Rattus norvegicus: one gene and its partners. The protein of the gene in region 1 interacts with the protein of each later gene in a biochemical or structural test. Links are inferred from orthologs where the notes say so. Each region holds a gene or a part of one and is shown in the gene's direction. Other genes may lie near its edges. The genes, in order: Zap70, Shc1, Erbb3, Lat and Lcp2.

Region 1 (4,453 bases):
TTTCCTCCTCCTAAGTGCTGAGCCATTGATTATATCTGTTGTTTGACTCTAGTTTTTACATCCTTCATTGGAAAATGGATTAAAGTTCACATGTAATTGTGAACCAGCGTCTGGCTGGTTCTTTGCTACTATATGTGATTCCAACACTCTGAGTTCTTTCCCCGGTCTGTGGACTTAGTCTGCAGGCTTTCTTCTCTTACTATAGTAACAAAACACTAGCATGCAGAGACACTGACCCTGGGATCTCACTGTATCTGTAGAGAAAGGGAAGTGGATCCAAGCCAGAAGCCTTCTCCTGAATGGGGAGGGGCTTTGGGAAGGTGATCATGGTAGATGCCCTGTGAGGAGGAACTGAAGAGGAGACCCTGAATGGGGTACCCAGAAGCCAATGGTCGTGTGAGAGAGACTCTTTTGGGGAGGGTGTCTGCGCTTAGGAACACCTTCCAGGGCATCTGCCTAAGCATCAAGAAGGTGGCAGGGGGGAGGGAGCCCCAGAGGACTTGGGGCACTGGAGTGGGTACTGCACATTTCTGCTGTGGTCTAGATATGGGAAATGGCCAGGATGGGAGTCCTGTGTGGGGCTAGACTAGAGTGTGTGAATGTCGGGGGACCCCTGTCTTCATGCCCCAACGCTAGAGCCAATTCTTCCCAGAGCCCCTCCAAAACAGCCCTGCCATCTTGGCTTTTTCTAGGTGAACACCAGACTAGCTCTGAAGTCCCAGTGGACTCACCCCTCCCCAACCCCAGCTTTAGGGCTTTAGCCTGCCTTTAGGGTTCCAGCAGAGGCCTGCTTCAGTATGCTTCCAAGAAATTGGGCACTGTGCTGGCTAGATTCATATCAACCTGGACACATATTATGGTTATCTGAGAGGAAAGCTCAATTGAGAAAATGCTTCTATGAGATTGCAGCGTGGGCCAGTCTGATGGTGGGTGGCCATCCCTAGGCTGGGTGTCCTGGGTTCTAGAAGAAAGCAGGCTGAGCAAACCATGGGAAGCAGTCCAGTAAGCAGCATACCTCCCTGGCCTCTGCATCAGCTCCTGCCCCCAGGTTCCTGCCCTGTTTTCCTGCCCTGACTTCATTTGTTGATTAGTTGTGGTAGTGTAAGCCAAATAAACCCTTTCCTCCTTAACTTGCTTTGGACACAGTGTTTAATCATGGCAACAGTAACCCCAACCAGGACAGGAACATTCTAGGGACCCCTCCTTTCCAGAACTTGTCCTCCCAACACTCTGGGTCTTCCCTGCCCCATTCTCAGATGGGGGCTTACTGTGGGCAGCAGGCTTTGCCCAGGATCCCTGACTGCTACAATCCCCGCCTTCCTTTTGTGTTCCCAACCCCTTGCGACTGATGCTGCATGACCCCGGAAATGTGCTGTACCCCGCCAGGAGAATGTGGCCTGTGATTTTCCTTCCACACAGCATTTTGTTGCTTTGACGTCAACTTCAAACACAGCTCTCTTTCCTGTCTTCGCATCAAGGAAATAGGTTGAGCAGCAGAGAAAAGTGTTGGTGAGAAAAAGTGCACCAGGGACAGCAGGCCTTGCGGCTAGGCCCTGCCGTGCTCTGTGAGCTGTGGTAGCGTCGAGGGTGTCCAGGTGAGTGGCCGCCCTTTGGTTTTTGGGGACTGGAGCCCCAGGTGGAGGGAGTGTGAGTGGATGTCAGTCCCTTAGTCTTATCTCTGTGTGACGAGGGTGGGGCCCACAGGGACCTGAGGCTGGGCTTGTGTAGGCCCAAGTGGTGGGGACTGGAGAGACTTCAAGTGGCCTCCTGACTTTGACCACATATCACCTGCTAAGGCAGCCCAGATGGAACCATCCTGAAGGTAGCCTGCCTCCTGGACTGGCCTAGGACAGAGTGATGGCTTTAACTCAGGAGGATTTAAGGGACTGAACTGGGTGGTGTCTGGCTGAAGGTGGAGCGAGTAGGTGCCCCTGGGGAAACAGGTCACTCAAGGGGTGCCGGCAGGCTGGCACAATAGGCCTCTGAGCCTGGACAACAAAATGCCAGTGGCTCTTGTTCCACTCATGGACAGGTCATATTGAAGGCTGGGGCAAAAGAACCAGTCACTAAATTTCCGCTCAGTAGCTGTGTATCCATAGGACGTTTCTTGGCCTCTCTGAGCCTGGGTTTGCGTGCCTGTAACCCAAGCAGACACAGATCTGGCTGCCTGTTAAGTGCCTGCCTTGTTTGTTGGCTAAGAGGCTGGAGGAATATCTCAGACAGCAGGGTCCGTATGGTGAACAGCCACATTCCTTGCTCCTGTCTTAGCTAGGACATCAGGCACACGGTAGGTGCTTACTGGGGCCTTGCTGAAAGATGGGGGTCATCAAGTCCTAGGTTGGAAGATGTAAGGTGCCACCTGCTGAGGTTCCTCTGACAAACCCAAAGTTTCTTTTCACTTCCCACCTGACCTTCAGTCTCACCTGTGCGACCCCAGCAGGTACCCTGGTGGGCCAGCAGCCTGGATGGTATTGACGCTTATACTTTTAGGGCCAGGGGCCTGGGTCCATCTAGATCTGCCTGCTACTTATTGCTGTGTGACCTTGGGCAAGTCACCTCACCTCTCTGTGCTTTCACAGTTTCTGTATCTGACACATCATTCCCAGAGTCCTTGTGGGGCTTGAGGAACCTCACCTGTGTTCAGGGACATAGTAGGTGCTGTATAACTAATTGGTTGTTAGGCTAATTGTTATCATTAGCTCTTGAGGGTCTCAGGCCCTGACCACAGATTCCGGAAACTTCTATGGGGCTGTAGCATCTGGACCACCCCATGCACACCACCCCTGCTCAGGCCCAAGGATCAAGGGAGGGAGTCATGCTGATCTAGGGTCAGCTGATGTCACCTGTCCCCAGAGGATGCCAGTGTCTGGAGATATTTTTGGTATGAACTTGGGCAATGCAGGCATGCAATGGGTAGATGCCAAGAATGTCATCAAACACCCCTCCCTACCGTCCAGCCCCTCCCTCACCAGTTCCTCAACTCTATAGGACCCTGTCCTGGGTCACCCCGATTCTTGATTTTTCCTACCTTTCTTTTACCGTGGCTTGAGATCCGGAGGGCAGAAGCTGCCTTGCTTAAAGGGTCATGCAGTTCCCAGCATCCAGTGAGTGGAGGCTGGGCTGTGGCTCTAACCTTACTACAGGGCTGGAGGGACATTGTCACATCAGTTAACAGATGCTCAGCGAGCTGGATTTTTTTTTTTTTTTTTTTTTGGTTCTTTTTTTTGGAGCTGGGGACCGAACCCAGGGCCTTGCGCTTCTTAGGCAAGCGCTCTACCGCTGAGCTAAATCCCCAACCCCGCGAGCTGGATTTGAGACCGTCTCTGGCCCCAGCAGCTGGGCACTCAAGGCCTTGCCAAGTAATTCAATGGCAACATTGGGGTCTGTGGGGACATGGAGTCCCCAGGGACTCGGCTCAGAGCTCTGCATTCCGCTCTGCATGGTATTAGTTGGAAACATCAGTGTGGGTTTCTGTTGGGCCTGTGTAACTGTGGGTCAGGTTGGGAGCCTGACACCAGCTTCTCTGAGCCTCAGTTTCCCCAGCTGAGGAATGGGAGTAACAGTTCCCAGGCGGCAATGGTGCTGAGGAACAGGTTAAGCGGAGTAGATCCTAAAGGATGCCCCATGGCCTTGTAATGAAGCTGGCCTCGTTCTCTGTGTGGGAGGGAGCAAGGGCTATGATGGAAAGGGGGCTGCTGTGGGGTGGGCCTGGAGGAGCCAGGCTCAGAGAAGTCATAGAAAGAGTGACAGACAGTGACCATTAAGGCTGGGAGGTGGGAGGTGGGGGCTGTGGAAGGCTCCCCCTCCTAGGTACCTGGTGCATCCTGGGAAGGATGGTGGAAACGTTCTGGCAGAGAGGGGCAGCTGGAATCCTGGAGCATAAAGTCAGGACAAGGGCATGGCTGGCTTAGGCTCCTGAGCCGGTCTTCTCAGCCCTGTGTGCTAGAGGGTGAAGCCCCCAGGCTGCCTACTCTCAGCCCTTCCTGTGACCCTCATTCTTGCCTGTCTCTTGAAGGGGTGTCCCTGTTCATCACGGGCAATTGTAGATCTTCTTGGCTCTCAGATGTTTAGCAACAGTGTAAACGCAGCATGCAAGGGACCAAGATGTCAACATATTGATACATGTGTATCATATTTAGTGGTAAAGCCCAGAAAGATGGGCTTGGAGTGGAAAACCATGGAGAGGCTGTGCTAGAGGGAGGTCAGGGTACAGACACTATTGGAGTGGAGGAAGGGGTTATATAAGCAGTGCCGAGACCCTGAACTTGGACATCGTAATTGTTGCATCCCAAACCCAGGGGCTTGAGCAAGTAGACTGAGCAGGCCCCTGTGGCTGGAGGGCAGGCAGAGTGGATTGTTAGCACAGGAAGGAAGCAGGCAGCAGCTCAGCAGCTCTGAACATCGTTCTCGGCCCTGTCTCAGAGCAGTGGTGAGCCCAGCTTTCAGGTCAGGT
Region 2 (4,536 bases), on another chromosome or scaffold:
AGGTGAACGAATGAAGCATGATATTTAACCTGCTTTAAGTGCTACTACTTAGGAGACAGAGGCAGGTGATTCTCTGTAAGTTTGAGGCCAGCCTGAGCTACAAAGCAAGTTCTAGGGCAGTCAATGTAGTTACACAAACGAACCCTGTCTTGAAAAACCAGACAAACAAAAAAGTACCTTTTACTTCTTGTGTTTGGTTACTTTTTAAAAAGTGAATAAAGCTATAGTTTAATCCGGAGCTATTTTGATTGGTCACTTTCTTTAACTTCCTGAATGGCCTTCAGCAGAGCTGTGGCAGGAAACTGTGGGCAAAGAAATAGGGGTTTGGTATTATTATGCACTTATGGCCAGATTCCAGCTTCTGATATCCCTTTCTCCTTCCTGTCTTTATTAACACAGATTTGTTTATGGCCCTATTATCCCTTTGTGGCTTGTAGGCACCAGTTCTGTGTGTTTCTTTCTCCTACCTCCAAGGCCAACTCCTCTACTAGTGTGAAGTACACTGTCTGGTGGGGTGTGTAGCCTATAAGGCGTAAAAGTATATCTGTAGGTCTAAGGGGTGGCCAGATCTCTATATCCTCTGGGGGCTTTCCTCACTAGGCCTCTGGAAGAGCACCCCCACCCCCAAGTCTGTTGGTCCTTGGTGACTTGTAGAAACAGCCTTGCTCTAGCTCTTGTCTGGTAGCTCCCAGATGCACCACCCGAATTAGCCTTTATTCCTATTTCAGCTTTGTCTTTCCTCTGGGCCTCGCAGTACATCCACTGGGACTACTTCCCTTCCTGGTTCTCAACTCTGGTCCTCAGCTGTTGGGGTGGATGCTAATGGCCCAGGTTCCCTGGAGCTACCACCTCACTCACTGTATGGTGGGGGTGGGGGTGGTCTGGGCTAGGGGGTGAGGGATTCACGTCTTCAGCCGGGTCTGGAAAGGAAATGCTAAACTCTGAGGGACAACTTCCCTCCCCCCACTCCCCGCCCAGCAGCTTCTGTTTCCTTCCTATCCCTCCCAGTCTTCCCGGTCTTCCTGCTCTCTTTGGCTTGCCCAGGTCTGTTTGGATTGGTCCAGAGTTTTCCTTAACTCCTTCCTTTCTTTTTTCTCTTTTGCTTATTCTTCCTTTCTTTCTTGCCCGGCACCTCCTCCTTCCCAGACAGATCACTAGTTGTTTGTATTGGGCTGGGGAGAGTGGCCTGGCTAACACAAATTATGTGGGGAGGTGTCTCAACCCCTCTGAGCCTGTGAGTCAGCACTGTCCTGGGGATTGGTTTCTCTCCTTAGTTCCCCGCCCCTGGGGAGGAGCCAGTCAGCTCTGGGTCCAGCCTGTACTCCTCAGCCAGACGAGGTTTCCTAGCTGGGCTGGGCCAGGATGTGGTTTGAAACTGTCTAGGTCTGAGTTGGGAGAGCAGAGGTCACTTGTCCTTCGCCTCCCCAGGTCCTCTGTTATCACCCGGCTGCCGAGGTCAGACTAGGCTAAGGGTCTGGGGATGCCCCCTGCCTGGCCCCCTTGCCTGAATTGGCAGGGGGGCCGGGCCGGGCAGCAGCCCCCCTTCTCACCCCAGCCATGGATCTTCTACCCCCCAAGCCGAAGTACAACCCACTTCGGAATGAGTCTCTGTCATCGCTGGAGGAGGGGGCTTCAGGGTCTACTCCACCGGAGGAGCTGCCTTCCCCATCAGCCTCATCCCTGGGACCCATTCTGCCTCCTCTGCCGGGGGACGATAGCCCGACTACCCTGTGTTCCTTCTTTCCCCGGATGAGCAACTTGAAGCTGGCCAATCCTGCTGGGGGGCGCCTGGGACCTAAAGGGGAGCCAGGAAAAGCTGCAGAAGATGGGGAAGGGAGTGCAGGAGCAGCCCTTCGGGACTCAGGCCTCTTGCCCCTCCTCCAGGACATGAACAAGCTGAGTGGAGGCGGCGGGCGCAGGACTCGGGTAGAAGGGGGCCAGCTGGGGGGCGAGGAGTGGACCAGACACGGGAGCTTTGTCAATAAGCCCACACGAGGCTGGCTGCATCCCAACGACAAAGTCATGGGACCTGGGGTTTCCTACTTGGTTCGGGTGAGTGCATATCCCCTTTTCTACTCTCCCCATACCCCTTCCAGTTCCTCCAGATTTGTCGGGACTTCCTGCTCTTCCCCCTGGAACATCTGTGCCATTCTCTTAGTTCTTAAACCTGGTGCATTCCTTCTCCAGTTCTCTGCCCTTAATTTAGCCTGCGAATCTTCTGCCTTTCCTCCTTTGGTCCCCACTCCCCAGTTTACACAATGCTCAAGCACATCAGAGGCTTTTGGTAAAAGTTGAATGAAAATGACTTCTTGATTCTTCCCTTTAGACTCCTCCTTTTTCCAGAGATGTCACTCCATCCTACCCAATACCTGCTACTCCTCTCATAATGTCTCTGTGGTGCATGAAGTTCCTCTTTGCGGTCTTTCTTTCCTCTTTCCCCTTTCCCCTTCACAGTACACCTATGGGGTGGTAGCCCCAGGCAGTAGGAAAGCTACTTCACCTTTACTTTCCTTAGGGATAAGGCAAAGCCCTAGAACCTTCTGCAAAGGGCTGGCAAGTGTGGGGTGGGGGATGGGGACAGCTGATCCATTCTTCCCTCCTTCCCCTACAGTACATGGGTTGCGTGGAGGTCTTACAGTCAATGCGAGCCCTTGACTTCAATACCCGGACTCAGGTCACCAGGTTAGTGGGGATTGAAGTTACAGAAATCTCAGCCAGGGAGAGGAGGAAGTTGGGCATTTGGTGGTGGTGCTGATGGCGATTTCTCGTGGGTGGTCAGAGAACTGAAAGTTACAGAAGTAGTTCTGACTGGAAGGAGCCAGCTCTGGTGTGGAGCACCACCTCACCTAACTATCCAGCCTTGGAGACTGTGGGAAGATGGACTAGAAAAGGCAGCAGGGGTAGGAGGTTGCTGATGCTTTAGGGAAGGAGATGGAACATTCGGGAGCTGGGAAGAGGTGGAGCTGCAGCCATTGAGGCCCTAACCCAATCAGCCAGGAAGCGGCCCCTCAGTGTCATCAAATATTAAAGGCCCTTAATTCAATCCACCACGACAAAGAGCCTGGAGTGCTCTGGGAATCTGGCCTGGTCTTCCCTTCCCCCAGCTCTGTGGCAGCCCTAGCCAGGGGGAGGCCCATGGTGGGTCTGAGTACTCCTGTTTCTCCAGGGAGGCTATCAGTTTGGTGTGTGAAGCTGTGCCTGGTGCCAAAGGGGCGATGAGGAGGAGAAAGGTATGTGTGGTTGGTGTTGGGGCTGGGTGATTGGAGGCAGGGGAAGGCATGTGCAGGGCGTGTCGGGAGAAGGTGAGTATTTCCTTATGCTGGGAAAACTCAGATTCTGAGACTCTGGGCCCTTCCTAGCCCTGCAGCCGCCCACTCAGCTCTATCCTGGGAAGGAGTAACCTGAAGTTTGCTGGAATGCCGATCACTCTCACTGTGTCTACCAGCAGCCTTAACCTCATGGCAGCAGACTGCAAACAGGTGGGTAGGCTGCTCGAAGGAACCAGGGATAGTTAGTTATGGGAGCATCAAGTGGGGATTGGAGGCCAAAAACTTGCAGTCTTCAGGAAGAACTGGAGAGTAGAAGAGGAAGAAGTTAGGAAGGTTGAGTATAGTGATACCTTTTATCCTAGCACCCAGGAGGCCAAGGCAGAGGAATCTGAGTTCTAGTCAGGGCTACATAGTGAGACCTTGTGCCTCACCCCACCAAAAGAAGAAAGAAATTAGGAGAATGCAGGGTAAAAGGCCAAGAGAATGATCCCGGGGCTCCAAGGTTCTATGCTGGGGTGGGTTCACGTGGAGCCCTGAGGCTGCCTGACCTTTACCATTCCTTCCTTCTCCACCCTGCCCTCATCAGATCATTGCCAACCATCACATGCAATCTATCTCATTCGCGTCTGGTGGGGATCCGGTGAGTTGGGGAACAGAGAAAAGACGGGTGGGGAAGAAGAAACTAGGGGCTGAAATGATGCTGGCTAGAGGCTGGGAGTGGTGGCCACACAAGAATCCCAGCACTCAAGAGGCAGGATAGCCAGGGCCATGCAGAGTAATCCTTCTTGAAAAACCAAAAGAGGGAGGGAGAAAATACTGGCTAAAGAAGTGGTGCACAAGGATTGTGAAATATGTAAAAAGGACAGAGTTAGTGGGTCAGGAGGTAAACTCTAGCTAACTGGCCTCCTGGATCTGCCCTCCCCAGGACACAGCTGAGTACGTTGCCTATGTTGCCAAAGACCCTGTGAATCAGAGAGGTGAGGCGTGGGGGACAGCACTGGGTGGGACCAATTCTCTGAGAAGCAAGTGATCAGTTATACTCGATAGGGCTATCCTGCTGGGAAGGGCTGGGGTGGGGCTCCTGCCCTCATGTTCTGCTAGCACCCTGCCTCAGTTCACTGGCGTCTCCACTGTGCCCAGCCTGCCATATCCTGGAGTGTCCTGAAGGACTTGCTCAGGACGTCATCAGCACCATCGGGCAGGCCTTTGAGTTGCGCTTCAAACAGTATCTCAGGAATCCACCCAAGCTGGTCACCCCCCATGACAG
Region 3 (4,750 bases), on another chromosome or scaffold:
GCACAGTCAACTTAACGTTCTTCCTCTTCTGCTTCCTCTTCTTGGAAATGGGATAAGACTTCCTCCTTTCCTCAGCACCACCACGACGTCTCAGCACCAGGTGGAGGGTGGACTCCTTTGAATGTCATAGTCGACAAAGTACAGCCAGCTGCCAGCTGCTTGCCAGCCAAGATCAACTTCTGCTGATCAGGAGGAATTCCTTCCTTATCCTGGATTTTGGCATTTACATTTTCTATAGTGTCCGAGGGTTCAACCTCAAGCGTGATTGGTCTCCCCTGTAAGGGTCTTCACAAAAAATCTGCACCGTTGCAGCGGCTTCACCCACGATGTCGGACCGGAAAGCCAGAATCTTTTTTTTTAAGATTTATTTATTTATTATATATGAGTACAGTGTCAACTGTCTTCAGGCATAGCAGAAGAGGGCATCAGATCCCATTACAGATGGTTGTGAGCCAGCCTGTGGTTGCTGGGGATTGAACTCAGGACCTCTGGAAAAGCAGTCAGTGCTCTTGCTTTTAATAGTGTAACTGTTACATAGCAGGTCCAGGAAAGGCCAAGGGTGGATAGGCACACCCACGCAATAGCAAGTTTAAAGAATCGTTGCAAGAGGGCAAGGGATGGGGCACGTGGAGAGATGGTTCAGTGTTTGGGAGCACTTGTTCTTCCAAAGAACTAGGGTTTCTTACCCAGACCCACATGACAGCTCACAACAATTTGTAACTCCAGTTACCAGGGATTCAACCAACAACTTCTGGCCACCACAGATACCTAAATGTGTTTGCAGAGAAAGTCTGGTAACTTGAATTCCATCTCCCAACCCGTGTAAAAATGGAAAGAGATAATCAAGTGCCCCTAAAGTCGTCTTCCGGCTTCCGTACACATATCGTAGCAGAAACAAGTACGAACGATCATGCATACAGGAATAATAACAAATTAAAAAAAATTGTAGCAGGAGAGTGGGGACATGGCGCACTTGGGAGGTGGAAGCAGAAAGATCGACCATTCAGAGTTCAACACCAGTGTCAGTCACATAATATACTCGAGGCCAGCCTGAGCTCTATGAGCTATATGAGACCTTGTTTCAAAACCAAAAAAAAAAAATAAACAAAAGAAAAGAAAAGATTGTAGTCCATAGTCTTCGCCCAGGGGGAGGGGACAATAAATTCTCAAAATCTTGGAATGCCAATGTAAGGGTTGCGAAATGCAAGGGGTTGGGCACCAGGGGGCGCCAGTCGGACCCGTCCGGGACCCAGCAACCCTGGGTCCCGTGGGCCATGTGCGGTGACTTCTCCGCTCCCCTCCTCACTGTCGTCTCCCAGTGTGAGCGTTGCTGTGCCCTTTTGGGTCCGCGGAGGAGAGGCGGGAACCGCGGCCGCCCGGACGGCGCGGTCGGTCCCTCGGAGACAGCTGTTCTCTCGGGCGGCCGTGGGGGGCAGCAGAGGGGACGGCGACAGGTGCGGGAGCCCCTCCCCGGGCTGAAGTGGGAAGGCGGACTCCCCGGTCTGTTCCCAGGCTGGAAACCGCCCCCGCCCCCCAGGCAAATCCCCCCAGAGGCCGAGCCGGCGCCGGGTCTGCCGGAGGAAGCGGCCGGAGACAGTGCAATTTCACGCGGTCTCCGGGGCTCGGGTTCCCGAGCTGGGTACATGAGTTACGGGGCTTTGCGTCCCGGGGAAACTGAGGTGGCATGAACGCTAGGCTAAAAAACAACCTCCCACTCGAAAAAACTGAAATACTCACACTACGAAAGAAGGAAAAAAAAAATCCCTCAAGTGATCCAACCGGCTAGGGGAGTTGAGTGATTTGGTTAATGGGCGAGGCCAGCTTTCTGGGGGCTGGGCTTCGGAGCGCTCTCCTTACCCGCAGTCACTACCTTTCCCCGGCCTGGGGTCGTTTGGAATCTTGATCTCCTCTGAACCATCTCCGGAGGGAATTGCTGGAGTAAGACCCCTCCTTGACCCTCTTGGCCAGGCTGCGGGCTGGCGGAGCACCTTTGGGCGGGTGTCCCGGGCTACAACCATCAGGACTTCAGCCTCGCACGGGAGGGGGCGCGGCCGTGACTCACCCCCTTCCCCCTTCGCTCCGTCCCTCCCTCCCAGACAGACACCCTCCCCTGCCGCCCCGCTCCGGACTCTGACTCCGGCTCCAGTTGCAGTTTGCAACCTCCGCTGCGGCCGCAGCTACCTATTCGCTGGCTGTTCAGGTGGCTTTCGCTTCGATGTCCTCCTAATCTTGGGGCCCCCGGGCCAGACTCGGCAGGGCTCCCTTCACCATCCGCTGGAATCATGAGGGCGACTGGGACTCTGCAGGTGCTGTGCTTCCTTCTCAGCCTGGCCCGGGGTTCCGAGATGGGCAACTCTCAGGCAGGTAAGCCGCGCGGGAGCCCCAGAAGTCTGGAAGCTGGGAGCGTGTGACCTGAACGCTCGCAGACCCTGGGCAAGGAGTTCGGGCACTGACTCTTTGAACTGGGGAGTGTGTGTGGGGGGGGGGTGCGACACCGGGTCTGCTCGCACCACCAAGGAGGGGGCCGTGTGCCTCGGTTCTTGGAGTGGAGCTTTCTGGGGGCTGGGACTGCATTCCTGGATGCCTACCCTTCTTCCCAGGGCGTCGCTGACCCTCTAATTGGTCTTATTCTGATTTGGTTAATGAAGAACAGTAGATTCACACTTGAGAGCCTTGGGAGGAGGGCGGGCAGGGACCCTTCTGTAAACGTAAGGAGCCTTGACTTGAAGGGTCTCAGTTTGTTCTCAGGTTCCCTGGCCCCCACCCCATCCCAGGTTTCAACAACCCCCCAGTTTCGTTGTTTTGCTGACAGGGCGGGGCTATGCAAGGGTTGGAAGTTGTTGTTTTCTAATGTTGGAAAAACAAGAGTGGCACCTCCTCTTCCGTGAGTGGGGCTGTCCTGAGAAGGCTGAGATTAACCTGAGGGCCAAGTCCAGGTGACATCAGTGAGAGGTCTCACAGAGCTGGCTGCCTGCTTTCCCATAAGATAAGCCGGTCCCCCAACTTAACCAACGTCTCTTTATCAAGACCCAGGTCAATTCAGTTAACATGTTGGGCATCTATTACACACTACACTATTTCCAGGGTATTATACCCTATTCTGGGGCTGTGGGGAAAAAGACAATCAGACCTATTTCTCTCTCCAATCTGAGGTCACTTCTCCCACCTTCTGAACATTCTATTCTGTGAACTGGCTCCCAGACCCAACTTGTGCCCTCCCCCCATTCGGTGCCATATGAGCCCTTTCCTACGGGTGTCTCTGGGACTACAGACACCTGAAGAACACCGGAGTTGGTATAATTAGAGTCCTGTTGATCTTGCTCCCCCCACCCCACCCCAAGATCTCTGCTTGGGGGTTGGCACAGTCAGTGCCCCTTCCGCAGAGTGGGAGTGGGAGAAACCACCTGTGCTTCCCCCACAGTTGCTGGGCCTAAATTTAGCCCCTGGGATCTTGAGATGTGAACACTCCCAGCTGGTGGAGGGGGTGGTCTGGGACTGGGGGGAGGGCCAGGGGAGTGACTGGAACACAGTTCCATCTGACTGCCCCCACCAACCAGAACCCAAGAGTCCGGGACTCCCACCACCCTCCTCAAGAGGCAGGGAGCAGGCATGCTTGCTTGTCTACCCTTTATCTTCCTCCTGAGCCTCTGGGCATCCGGCCCTGTCTCAAGCCTTGTATAGCCCCTTTGTCCCCTTGTGTATGTGGCAATAGAGGGGAGGCATCTGAGGGGCTGGAGGCTCTTGGTCTGTGCAGTCAATACTCTCTACAGAGAAAGGCTCCGACTTTGATCCTTTGCTCCTCTGTGAGCGTTGTCCACCCTACCCCCACCCGGTATTTTTCACTGCTTCCTTGCCGTGATCCCCAGGTTGCTTGGTCCCTCCTGGGTGGTTGTTTATGCTCCCGTCCTGTCCGCCTGCGCCCTTTGCCCCTGTTTGTGGGATCTGGACTTTACCCTCAGGGTGGCAGGTAACTGAGCCCTGTAGGGCTTTGCAAAGCACAAGACACAAAGTGTGCAAGGCATTGTGGGCAGGCAGGATGGACTGGCCCCTTGTAATGCTTCTGAGTATGGGTTCCAGGGCAAACACTATCTATTTCTGTGCCAGGGTAACTGTGTACATGTTTGTGTGTCAGTCGTACATGTGTGACACTACGCACGCACGCACAGGTACACATCACTTCCCTGTGCAGATATCCTAGCTCCTCCCCTATCTGAGAAGGGTTGGCACCTTAACTTGGAAGAGGGGTGTCCTGCCAGGAAGGGGACAGGGGTGGGGCTGTTCCAGAAATGACTAACCTTCCTAGTCTTTTATTTCAGCCCAAGGACCCTGGAGTTCCCAGGTTCCTCTGGGAGCTTCTAGCTTCTTGCTGGAACTGGCCCACTCTTTCCATCATGGAGAGAGGATAGGGAAGATGATCTAGAAGGGGTCAAACTAGACATGTACCTAACAAGAGAAACTGGGCTTTCTGACTCTCTCTCTCTCTCTCTCTCTCTCTCTCTCTCTCTCTCTCTCTCTCTCTCTCTCTCCCTGCCCCGCCTCAGGGAAGGGTGGTTAGAACAGGTGGTGTACCCCTTACCCCCACCCTCCTCTCCATGTGCTTTTACTGCACCACAGGAAAGAGCTCCAGGGAAGACAGTGAAAGCCCAAGAACTGAAATGGCCTCTCCTCTGGGCTCTCTCCTGGAGTGCCTACTGGGGAACACTGCCATGTTAGCAGTCTCTTTAAAGAATCCTTCTGACGATGAAATTGG
Region 4 (4,620 bases), on another chromosome or scaffold:
TACTCCCTGGCTGGTGGCTGGTGGCATGAGCCTGGGTGGATGGGATAGTCTGGCCCAGTTTAGGCAATAGATGGCTGTGGCACATCTCCCCTTAAATCCTTTGGTGGATGGGAAGAAGCTGTAGGAAGGCTTGCCCATTAGGCTGTAGGCCTCACCCTACGGCCCAAACATTCCCCTTCCCAGCTTCTGTTCATTTTCTTGGTCAGGGCTCCACATCCCCGTGTCTCTGACTCTCCTCTCCCTGCAGATCTCTGACCGCCTCCGAAGGAGCTGGCCCCCTTCCTTCCTGTCCGAGTTCCGGGCTCTGCAGTTCTCTCTCATGCTCTGTGCTTTCGTCGGGGCCCTGGGTGGCGCGGCCTTCCTGGGCACCGCCATGTTCATTGAGAATGACCGCCGGCGGGCACAACTCCACGTGCAGGGTCAGTGAGGGCCACTGTCAGGGTCTACCTTCACAGTGCCATCTGTCTGTCTGTCCATCTGCCTGTCTGTCAGCCTCCAAGTACACGTTCCACGGTTCTCCCTCCACTCAGACTGTCCCATACATTCATGCCACCAGCTACCTGCCAGGGGCAAGAGCCCAGCTTCCCTGGCTCATCCAGCTCAGCATTGAGTCTATCAGAAAGTGGATTGGACTTTCTGCCTGTGTGCAGTTCTGAGGGCCCTCACTGCTGTTTCGTCTGTATTCCTCTGCCTGTTTGTCCTCTGTCCCCTTGCTGGCTCTTATCTTACTGGCTTTGGCTCTGATCCCTTTCTCAAAGGTCTGTTGCATGAGACCGAGCCCTCAGATGACCAGATTGTGGTACCTCAGCGAGGCCGTTCTACCCGAGTCCCTGTGTCCAGTGTGCTCATCTGAGGAGCCGTTGCTCGAGCCCAGCCATAGATGTCACAGCTGGTCCTGGGCCCACCCCAAACGGTTCCCAGGCAGAAGCCCTCACCAGGCCCAGGTCCAAGAAGGAAGCCCTGGGATAGATCCCAGCTCCCAGACACTACATGGGCAGCCCAGGGAAGAGATGGGTGTCCAGAAATGGGGGTTGTCCTCTCTACTAGGGTAGCCCAAGGGGTTTGGTGCTATTTGTAACGGATGTAAATAAAATTTGTAATCAGACTCCCGACTGACTGCTTGTCTCTCTGTGGCTGCCACTGGCTTCAGGGAAATATCTGTAGCCTCCGGATTCACCAGGGGCTGTCAGGTCACCCTGTGGGTAAGTCCCTGTCTTCTGGGCTTGGTAATCTAGAAGGAGGGCTGCTCTTTTCTGAGTGAGCTGGCTCGGTGTGACCGTGACTCACCGTGGTCCTCTGGAAGTCGCTCTCCCAGTACGTGAGCCTAGGAGCTGGGGGCAGTGGTACCCTTGGTCCACACAGGCCCTGGCAGAGCCTCCTTGCAGTTCTCCCACCTGAGGAGGCTACAGCTGGCCTGGTTGGCACGTGTCTCCTTTCCTAGTGGAGGGGTTGCCTCATTCTGCAGCCTCAGACCCTTCCTTCACACAGTCCCTTTGCCTCCTCCCCCTTCCCACAACTGGGTGGGGGTGAGTGGGCAGGGGGCAGGCTCAGCCGGCTGAGGAGCCTGATGATTTCCTGCCCTCACCACAGCTTCCTGTCGCACGCGGGTGGTGAGAAGGAGAGGCAGGCGGGGAGCAAGAAAGGCAGGTACAGCTGGGCACAGGGATCGTGCAGCTGGTGGCTGGGGCACAGGCCCCAGCGCTGGCTCCGGGACTAACACCTTTCCGGAGCCAACGCTAATCTCAACTCAGTCGAGCAAGAGAGCAGACGCAGCTGCCGGCTGCTGGATCCCAGGCTGGGGCCCGCTTGGTCCCACACCCCTCCAGGGGCTGCGGTGCAGCAGGGCCTGGGGCAGGTGCTCTGCAGATGGAAGCAGACGCCTTGAGCCCTGTGGAGCTGGGCCTCCTGCTGCTGCCCTTCGTGGTCATGCTCCTGGCTGCCCTATGCGTGCGCTGCCGTGAGTTGCCAGGTAAGTGGGGAGCTTTGGGCAAACGGGATGCTGGACACTCCATCGAATCCTCATGCCGTCCCCGGCCCTTCACCCTCCAACTGTCCCTACTTCAGTCCTGGGTGGGGGTGGGGGACCTGCGTGTCTTGTTCCAATGTACCTGATCCTGCCTCATTGGCTGTCTCTCCTCTAGCCTCCTATGACAGTGCTTCCACAGAGAGGTGAGTGGCAAACCCATGGCCCTGTGTGTCTTCCCTTTGTTCCAATCAAGGACTTGGGGCTGGGGCCCAAGGCCCAAGCCCTTGTACTCAGGCTATCTCTTTCTTGCCAGTTTGTACCCAAGGAGCATCCTCATCAAACCACCTCGTGAGTTCCGTGACCCTGGCCTTCCTCGAGGTTTCTTAAGATTGTGCCTTTGTCCTGTTCATCTTTAGCTGTCTGAAGGGTTATTACCTGGCTTGGGATAGGGGGAAGTGGGAGCCCCAATGTCTGTCTAGGGCATGGTTTTCAGGGGTACATCTGTCCTTAGAGGCCTTGATGAGGGTGGGGGGATGTCTGGCATCATCCCTTCAAGCTTTCTTTGCTCTGTGTCCTCAGAAATAACCGTCCCCCGAACACCTGCTACTTCCTACCCTCTTGTCACTTCCTTCCCACCCCTGAGGCAGCCAGACCTGCTCCCCATTCCGTGAGTATCCCCCAACTCCCTCCCTCGGATCTACTGTGCTTCCACACCTTCTAGGTTGGGGAGGCACTTTTTCCTGGTTTAACCCCTCTTGCTCCCAGAGGCCTACCCAGATGTAATCTCTGGCCTTTGGCTTCCAGGAGATCCCCACAGCCCCTCGGGGGCTCCCATCGGATGCCATCTTCCCGGCAGAATTCAGATGATGGTAAGGGTGTAGAGCACAGGAGGGCGTTGGGGAGGAAGTGCAACCTGAGCTGACTCGGTCTTCCTTTCCCTCTCTCTTTGAAGCCAACAGTGTGGCGAGCTACGAGAACCAGGGTGGGTCTGGGGTCTAGGGTAGTGGGTGGGGTGGGGAGGCTGGAGCTGTCCAGGTCATGTTGACTCCCCTTCCTCATAGAGCCAGCCCGTAAGAACGTGGATGAAGATGAGGATGAAGATGACTATCCTGAGGGCTACCTGTGAGTGGGGAGGTGGGAGGTGGCCGTGGAAGTTGGGTACCCTTTATCAACTCATTCCTTCCTTCCAGAGTGGTGCTGCCTGACAGTAGTCCTGCTGCCGTCCCTGTTGTCTCCTCTGCTCCGGTGCCCAGCAACCCTGACCTTGGAGACAGTGCCTTCTCTAGTGAGTCAGGCTTTCTGTCTACCTCCTTCCGCCATGTGCTGCCAGCCTCTCCTTCCCTCCCTCTGTCTCTGTAATGATTGCCGCTCTTCCATTTCCTCCTTCAGATGTCCAGCTTCCTGCTCTCCACCTTCCATTGTCTTGTTTTTCCTTTCACCTTTGCTCCCTCCTCTCTGTTGTCCAAGAGATTTCCTGACTCTTCTTGAACCCTTCCATTGAAATTTCATTTCTCGGCTGGATGTGGGGGTGCATGCCTATATTCCCAGCATCAGGAGGCTATGGCAGGAGGGTTGAGTTGGAGGTTAGCCTGGGCTACATAGTGATACCCTCTCTTCAGAAACCAAAACAGCACTACGATCAACAAAAAGAAAATAAAAGAATCCATTTCTCTTATCTGAAAGTCCCCCCTCAGTTCTTTTTGTATAGTACCCTGTTCTTGTTTCTTGGAAGCAATATCATCTAATGTGTCTGTAAGAACTTTGATTACAGATTGTTTCTCTCTGTGTCTCTCTCTTGTCTCTGTCTCTGTCGTTCTGCATATCTGTCTGTCTCTCACCCCCTCTCACTGAAGATGTCTTCTGCGTACCCACATGGTCTTTGTTTCTCTTGGACCGCTTTTCTCTGCTTTGGTCTTTCTCCTTCCCTGAACTTTCCTCAAGGTCTGGTGATCTTCAGTTTTCTACCCTCTTGTCTCTGCATAGCATGAGTATCCTTTACCTGAAACACTTCGATACAGATTTAGAAATATTTATAAATATATAATAAATTCTTTTGAATATGAAACTCAAGATTAAACATGAGATTAATTCACTTATGTTTTATATACACCATTATATAATATATACCAAGTCTGAAGGTAGGTTTTTGTTTTGTCTTAGTTTTATTGACATCGGGCTTCATGGTCTAGTCCTGGCTGTCCTGGAACTTGATATGTAGACCAAGTAGACTCGAACTCAAATTAAAGGTGTAGGTTACCATGCTCAGTCTTGAAAATCTTTTGCATGAAATCAAAGTTTCATGGAATTTTCCATTTGTGGTAATGCACGAGTACTTAAAGGGTTTTGGATTTGGAATATGCTGAATTTTGGAGTTTTAATTCAGAAACACCCAACCTTCTGCATTTACCCTAGACTATTTACCCTAGACTATCATGTCTGTAATCTGGCTCTGGTTTTGTTGTTGTTTGTTTTTTGTTTTTGACAGAATCTCACTGTGTAACCCTGGCTGCTGTGGAACTCACTTTGTAGACCAGTCTGGCCTTTACCTCATAGAGTTCCAATTGCCTGTGGCTTCTGAGTTCTGAGATTATAGGTGTATTTCCATTTGGTTTTTATTGATAGTCCCCCCACACTCCCATATAGGGTTTCTCTGG
Region 5 (4,010 bases), on another chromosome or scaffold:
GAAGCCGCCCATTGAGCTTCTCTGGGTGCTGATTCCTGTCAGCTTCTGAAAAACTGGTGGCTTGAGGCCAGAGACTCTGCCTCTCTGGCTGTTTCCTTATGAGTAATACAGGATAATACTAGAACAGAGGACAAAGGCTTGATGGGAAGAGGGTGGTTATGTGGCACCGCCATCCACAGAAGGTCATAAGAAATGTGAGGGCACTCAGAGGGATTGGTTCTGCCTTTACAATGAGACAGACTTTAGGATGTTCCTCATTTACCTGCCGTCCTGCACTCACATGTTCTTCCTCATTCATTCATTCATGAAGTCACGAATGCTTCTCCTCTCCTGTTATGAGCCAGACACCATGTGCTGGAATCTACCAGGAAGGAAGATGCACCTTTATCCGGTGGGAATTACTTTCTAGAAGAGGAGGTAACAGAAAATGAGCATAGGCACACTCGGTTTCCTCTGCATCCAGGGGTCAATGTGTCTCACCCTGGGAGCTGTGTTGTACTCTGCTTCAGACTGCGCCCCACCACCTGACTTTGTGTATTGAGGGATAGAACATGAAAGCTAACAGGCAGGGAGCTTCAGCCATCACTGAGGCTATTCCAGACAGAGCAGAAAAGGGAAACCAGGCTGGTGAGTATCTCTAGGTGCCTGTCACAGAGACATGGAGTGAGCATGACGGACCTCATCCTTGAGCACTCCTGGTGGAGTGGGTGAGGCGACACTAAGCTAATGCATGACACTAAGCTAATGCATCCTGTCACTCCATTAGGCCAGCATAATAAACGGGTTTGCTCCTTCAGGGTGTGGTATTTGAGCGACAGTCTTCGGCTGATATTAAATACTGAATGGCAAATGAGGAAGGTTTGGTTAAATGACGCCGAACAGGGTAGGGGAGGAACATTTGAAGCACATAAAACGGCAGTGCAGAGGCCCTGAGGTCCCAAGGAACATGGGCTATCCGAGGAGCTGAAAGGCAGCCTGTGGTATGGATACCAGACTTCCCCTTACCCCTTGCCCGAACCCCCTTCCTTCTGGAAGGGAAATGATATTCTTCATAGGGCTAACAAAGGGGTAGATCAAGTCCACAACAGCCTTTCCAGTCTGAAGTTCCAGACTCCTTCCTCAATCTTCCCCAAACCAACAGTTAGTCAGTCTGTTAGTTGGGGTTTCTGCAGCTTGGATAAGCCTCCAGGGCCAAAAGTACAGGATGCTAGAGGCACTTGCTACTCCTGCCTCGCTGTCCGGTGCTGGCCTTTCCCACCCAAAGGGGTAAGAAATCCCAAACTTGTCAAACTGGTTCTGGGAAGTTCTGTGGCAATCGGAATAATGTGTCTGTCTAGGGCGAGACCATGGGCTGTTTAATTTGGTAACAGAATTGAGAGCCAGCCCCTCCCTGTAAGGGAGGGGACAGACAAAGGACGAAATAGGAGAACATAGCAGCCCAGAGTACCTGTGAAGGGAAGGAAGCGACAGAGTGAGGAGCTCATGAGGGTGGCAGCGAACTTAATCCTGTGCAGTGTGAGCATATGTATGCAGGCATGCACACACGTGTCTCTGTGCATGCTTAAGTGTCAGCATACACTCATGTTTCACGGCATAGGTACATGCATGTGCATGTTGAATACACACACTTGTGCTCTATATTTGCAAATGTGCACATATATGCACAGGGATCATGTGTGCATGCACATGAACCCTTGCTCGTCCACACATGTAGAATTTGTATCTGAAAACACTGGGGTAATTCTCTAGAGGCTTCCTTTGGCTAGAGGTGTCTCAGATATTACCTGTTTGTGTGTAAGGTACTGTGGGAGTTATTCCAATGTATAAGAAGACTTAAACCAAATCTGCAGGATGAGGGACAGATCTGGGCCAAGGACTTCCTGCCTCCTGTAGGACCCAGGCTGGGTCTGACTATATGTCAAATTCATGCTGGTACCGGTGGAGATCTGGAGGAGGCTCCTGACACCTCAAGCTATAGTCAGGCACAACATGTTCTAGAAGAAGCCTAATTCAAACGTTTTAATTTTTTCTCTTTTCGTTTTTTTTCTTTCTTTCTTGGTTTTTGTTTGTTTGTTTTTGTTTTTCGAGACAAAGTTTCTCTGTGTAGCCCTGGCTGTCTTAGAACTAGCTCTGTAGGCCAGGCTAACCTTGAACTCAGAGATCCACCTACCTCTGCTTCCCCGGTGGTATTAAACGGCTCTCCTTTCTTTTTAATATTGTGTTTCCACAGACCGGCCTCCCACCGGCAAGGTCTCCCAGCAGCCTCCGGTGCCCCCGCAGAGACCAATGGCCGCCCTCCCTCCCCTGCCAACAGGCCGGAATCACTCGGTAAGCCTCTTCCCTTTCTTCCAGGCCGCTTTGTTTCCACTACAATTCGTTCTTCCGGTAGACAGAAAAGGAACTAAGCATCTTGACCTAATTCTAAGTTTGTAAGAGGCGGTTATGACAGGAAAAATGCACACCCTCACGTTCCGCTCAGTAGTTCAATTTTGTGATGACATAGAAGCAGTTTCTATGTATAGCATAATGTTTATTGGCAGTTTTTTTGCACCAAAAACAATATAAACTGCGTGTATAATGAGATACTCCCCTTCTCCAATATCATTGTGCTACTTCCGCTATTTAACTGTGGGAGAACCAAGTCTGGCCTGGCATCTTCCGGTGTTGCCTAGACTCTCGAGGTAGGCCTCCCCGTGCAAGCAGCGCTGCGCCACCTGCTGGCAAGGTCAAGAACTTCCAGGGATGAACGCCTTCAGACCACAAGATTTCCAACTCGGTGAAGCCCATGAGAGAAACAGTGGCACCGAGCCCCACTTTCCCTTTTCATTCAGCATTATAGTCCAGCTCCTATGGAGGTTACATGAAGCTCAGTCTAAAGGAGTCATCGATGTGCTCTTTCCGCAAGGGGCCAGGACAGAGCTAGGAGGGGAGATTGTGGTGGGAGGAAAGGCATTTTGCTTTTGAAATCAGACGGCTGGCACCTCCACCACTGGGAGGCAGGCTTTGCCTATCATGTCAACAGATACTGATGGGGCTACTACTTCACACCAGTGTCCTCTGTGCCGGGGGAAGAACACGGAACAGTACAGAATGTTCCGACTTTCATACCGTGTTGCTATCAACAAGCACACAGATGTAGAAATGACCTGGGTATGTGGTTTAGGAAGACAGGGGGCCGAGTAATATGACAGAGTGTACAGAGCTGACACCGAGCTGGCACAGGACGAGCCAGTCATAGGGAACGCAGAAGGAACATCCCAGGCAGAGGAAACATAGGCACAGAGATGTTCACGAGTAGGTATGAGCTTTGGGTTTTGTGAGAACTGTAAGGAGATCCTTATTCGGGGACCATGGAGCATTAGCGAGGAACATAGAAATGGCTTCAAATGGTGGGCAGGGCATCTACTGTGGGGCTTCATGGGGGTGGGGGGATGGGGGATAGGGGTAGGGGTGGTAGGGGTGGTGGTGGAGGTGGTGGTGGTGGTGGTGATGGTGGTGTCATATTTCACTTCTGATGTGACTAGAACCTTGGAGGGCTTGGTAGGGAAGTTTCTGCTTGGTTCTTTGCCATGCAAAAGGCTGAAGCATGAGAGAGTGAGGAAGTTCAGAGGGGCACGACCTCAGCAACTCAGCTGACAGCTAGCTGCGGGACAGACCTGGAGATGGAGAAAAGGGATCCAGATACCTTTGGAGAGGGAAAAGTGGGAAAATTTCCAAACATTTGGACTGGGTTATTATTATTTTTTTTAATTCCATGCTGCCACTGTCTCCGGCCCAGCCCAACCATGAAGAACCTAGCAGAAATCGGAACCATAAAACAGCAAAGCGTATGTACAGGGTGCTTTCTGCACCCCCCCCAGCCCACCCACCCAATTCCCAGCCGGATGCTTTCTTTCTTTTTTAACTGACCTCAGCTTTCTCCACTCCAGTGCCTGCTCCATCAATAGACAGAAGCACAAAACCTCCCCTGGACCGCTCATTGGCTCCTCCTCTTGACCGAGAGCCCTTAC

Evidence for each region.
Region 2: of the proteins of Zap70 (region 1) and Shc1, one has a biochemical effect on the other in vitro, tested with the Homo sapiens proteins (2 studies listed by BioGRID, with this or other methods). The link is inferred for Rattus norvegicus from reciprocal best matches to the Homo sapiens genes ZAP70 and SHC1.
Region 3: the proteins of Zap70 (region 1) and Erbb3 form a complex in vitro, tested with the Homo sapiens proteins (2 studies listed by BioGRID and IntAct, with this or other methods). The link is inferred for Rattus norvegicus from reciprocal best matches to the Homo sapiens genes ZAP70 and ERBB3.
Region 4: of the proteins of Zap70 (region 1) and Lat, one has a biochemical effect on the other in vitro, tested with the Homo sapiens proteins (2 studies listed by BioGRID). The link is inferred for Rattus norvegicus from reciprocal best matches to the Homo sapiens genes ZAP70 and LAT.
Region 5: of the proteins of Zap70 (region 1) and Lcp2, one has a biochemical effect on the other in vitro, tested with the Homo sapiens proteins (2 studies listed by BioGRID). The link is inferred for Rattus norvegicus from reciprocal best matches to the Homo sapiens genes ZAP70 and LCP2.

Annotation. Positions count from the first base shown.
Region 1 is NC_086027.1:46,484,109-46,488,561, forward strand, and holds the start of Zap70 (tyrosine-protein kinase ZAP-70), read left to right. Parts: upstream 1-1,496; 5' UTR 1,497-1,595; intron 1,596-4,207; exon of another isoform or gene 4,208-4,453. UniProt on the Homo sapiens protein: Tyrosine kinase that plays an essential role in regulation of the adaptive immune response. Regulates motility, adhesion and cytokine expression of mature T-cells, as well as thymocyte development.
Region 2 is NC_086020.1:177,137,199-177,141,734, forward strand, and holds the start of Shc1 (SHC-transforming protein 1), read left to right. Parts: upstream 1-1,349; 5' UTR 1,350-1,557; coding exon 1,558-2,052; intron 2,053-2,611; coding exon 2,612-2,682; intron 2,683-3,166; coding exon 3,167-3,230; intron 3,231-3,359; coding exon 3,360-3,479; intron 3,480-3,855; coding exon 3,856-3,909; intron 3,910-4,194; coding exon 4,195-4,246; intron 4,247-4,409; coding exon 4,410-4,536. UniProt on the Homo sapiens protein: Signaling adapter that couples activated growth factor receptors to signaling pathways. Participates in a signaling cascade initiated by activated KIT and KITLG/SCF.
Region 3 is NC_086025.1:1,597,446-1,602,195, reverse strand, and holds the start of Erbb3 (receptor tyrosine-protein kinase erbB-3), read left to right. Parts: upstream 1-1,816; 5' UTR 1,817-1,938; intron 1,939-2,096; 5' UTR 2,097-2,282; coding exon 2,283-2,364; intron 2,365-4,523; exon of another isoform or gene 4,524-4,750. UniProt on the Homo sapiens protein: Tyrosine-protein kinase that plays an essential role as cell surface receptor for neuregulins.
Region 4 is NC_086019.1:190,369,148-190,373,767, reverse strand, and holds the start of Lat (linker for activation of T-cells family member 1), read left to right. Parts: upstream 1-1,631; 5' UTR 1,632-1,866; coding exon 1,867-1,969; intron 1,970-2,141; coding exon 2,142-2,169; intron 2,170-2,279; coding exon 2,280-2,314; intron 2,315-2,545; coding exon 2,546-2,633; intron 2,634-2,770; coding exon 2,771-2,835; intron 2,836-2,918; coding exon 2,919-2,948; intron 2,949-3,027; coding exon 3,028-3,088; intron 3,089-3,156; coding exon 3,157-3,251; intron 3,252-4,620. Other genes in the region: Spns1 (protein spinster homolog 1), read left to right, coding at 248-419, 759-853. UniProt on the Homo sapiens protein: Required for TCR (T-cell antigen receptor)- and pre-TCR-mediated signaling, both in mature T-cells and during their development.
Region 5 is NC_086028.1:19,170,560-19,174,569, forward strand, and holds part of Lcp2 (lymphocyte cytosolic protein 2), read left to right. Parts: exon of another isoform or gene 1-405; intron 406-2,170; exon of another isoform or gene 2,171-2,230; coding exon 2,231-2,328; exon of another isoform or gene 2,329-3,492; intron 3,493-3,778; coding exon 3,779-3,827; intron 3,828-3,929; coding exon 3,930-4,010. UniProt on the Homo sapiens protein: Adapter protein primarily involved in signaling pathways within T-cells, as well as other immune cells such as platelets, mast cells, and natural killer (NK) cells.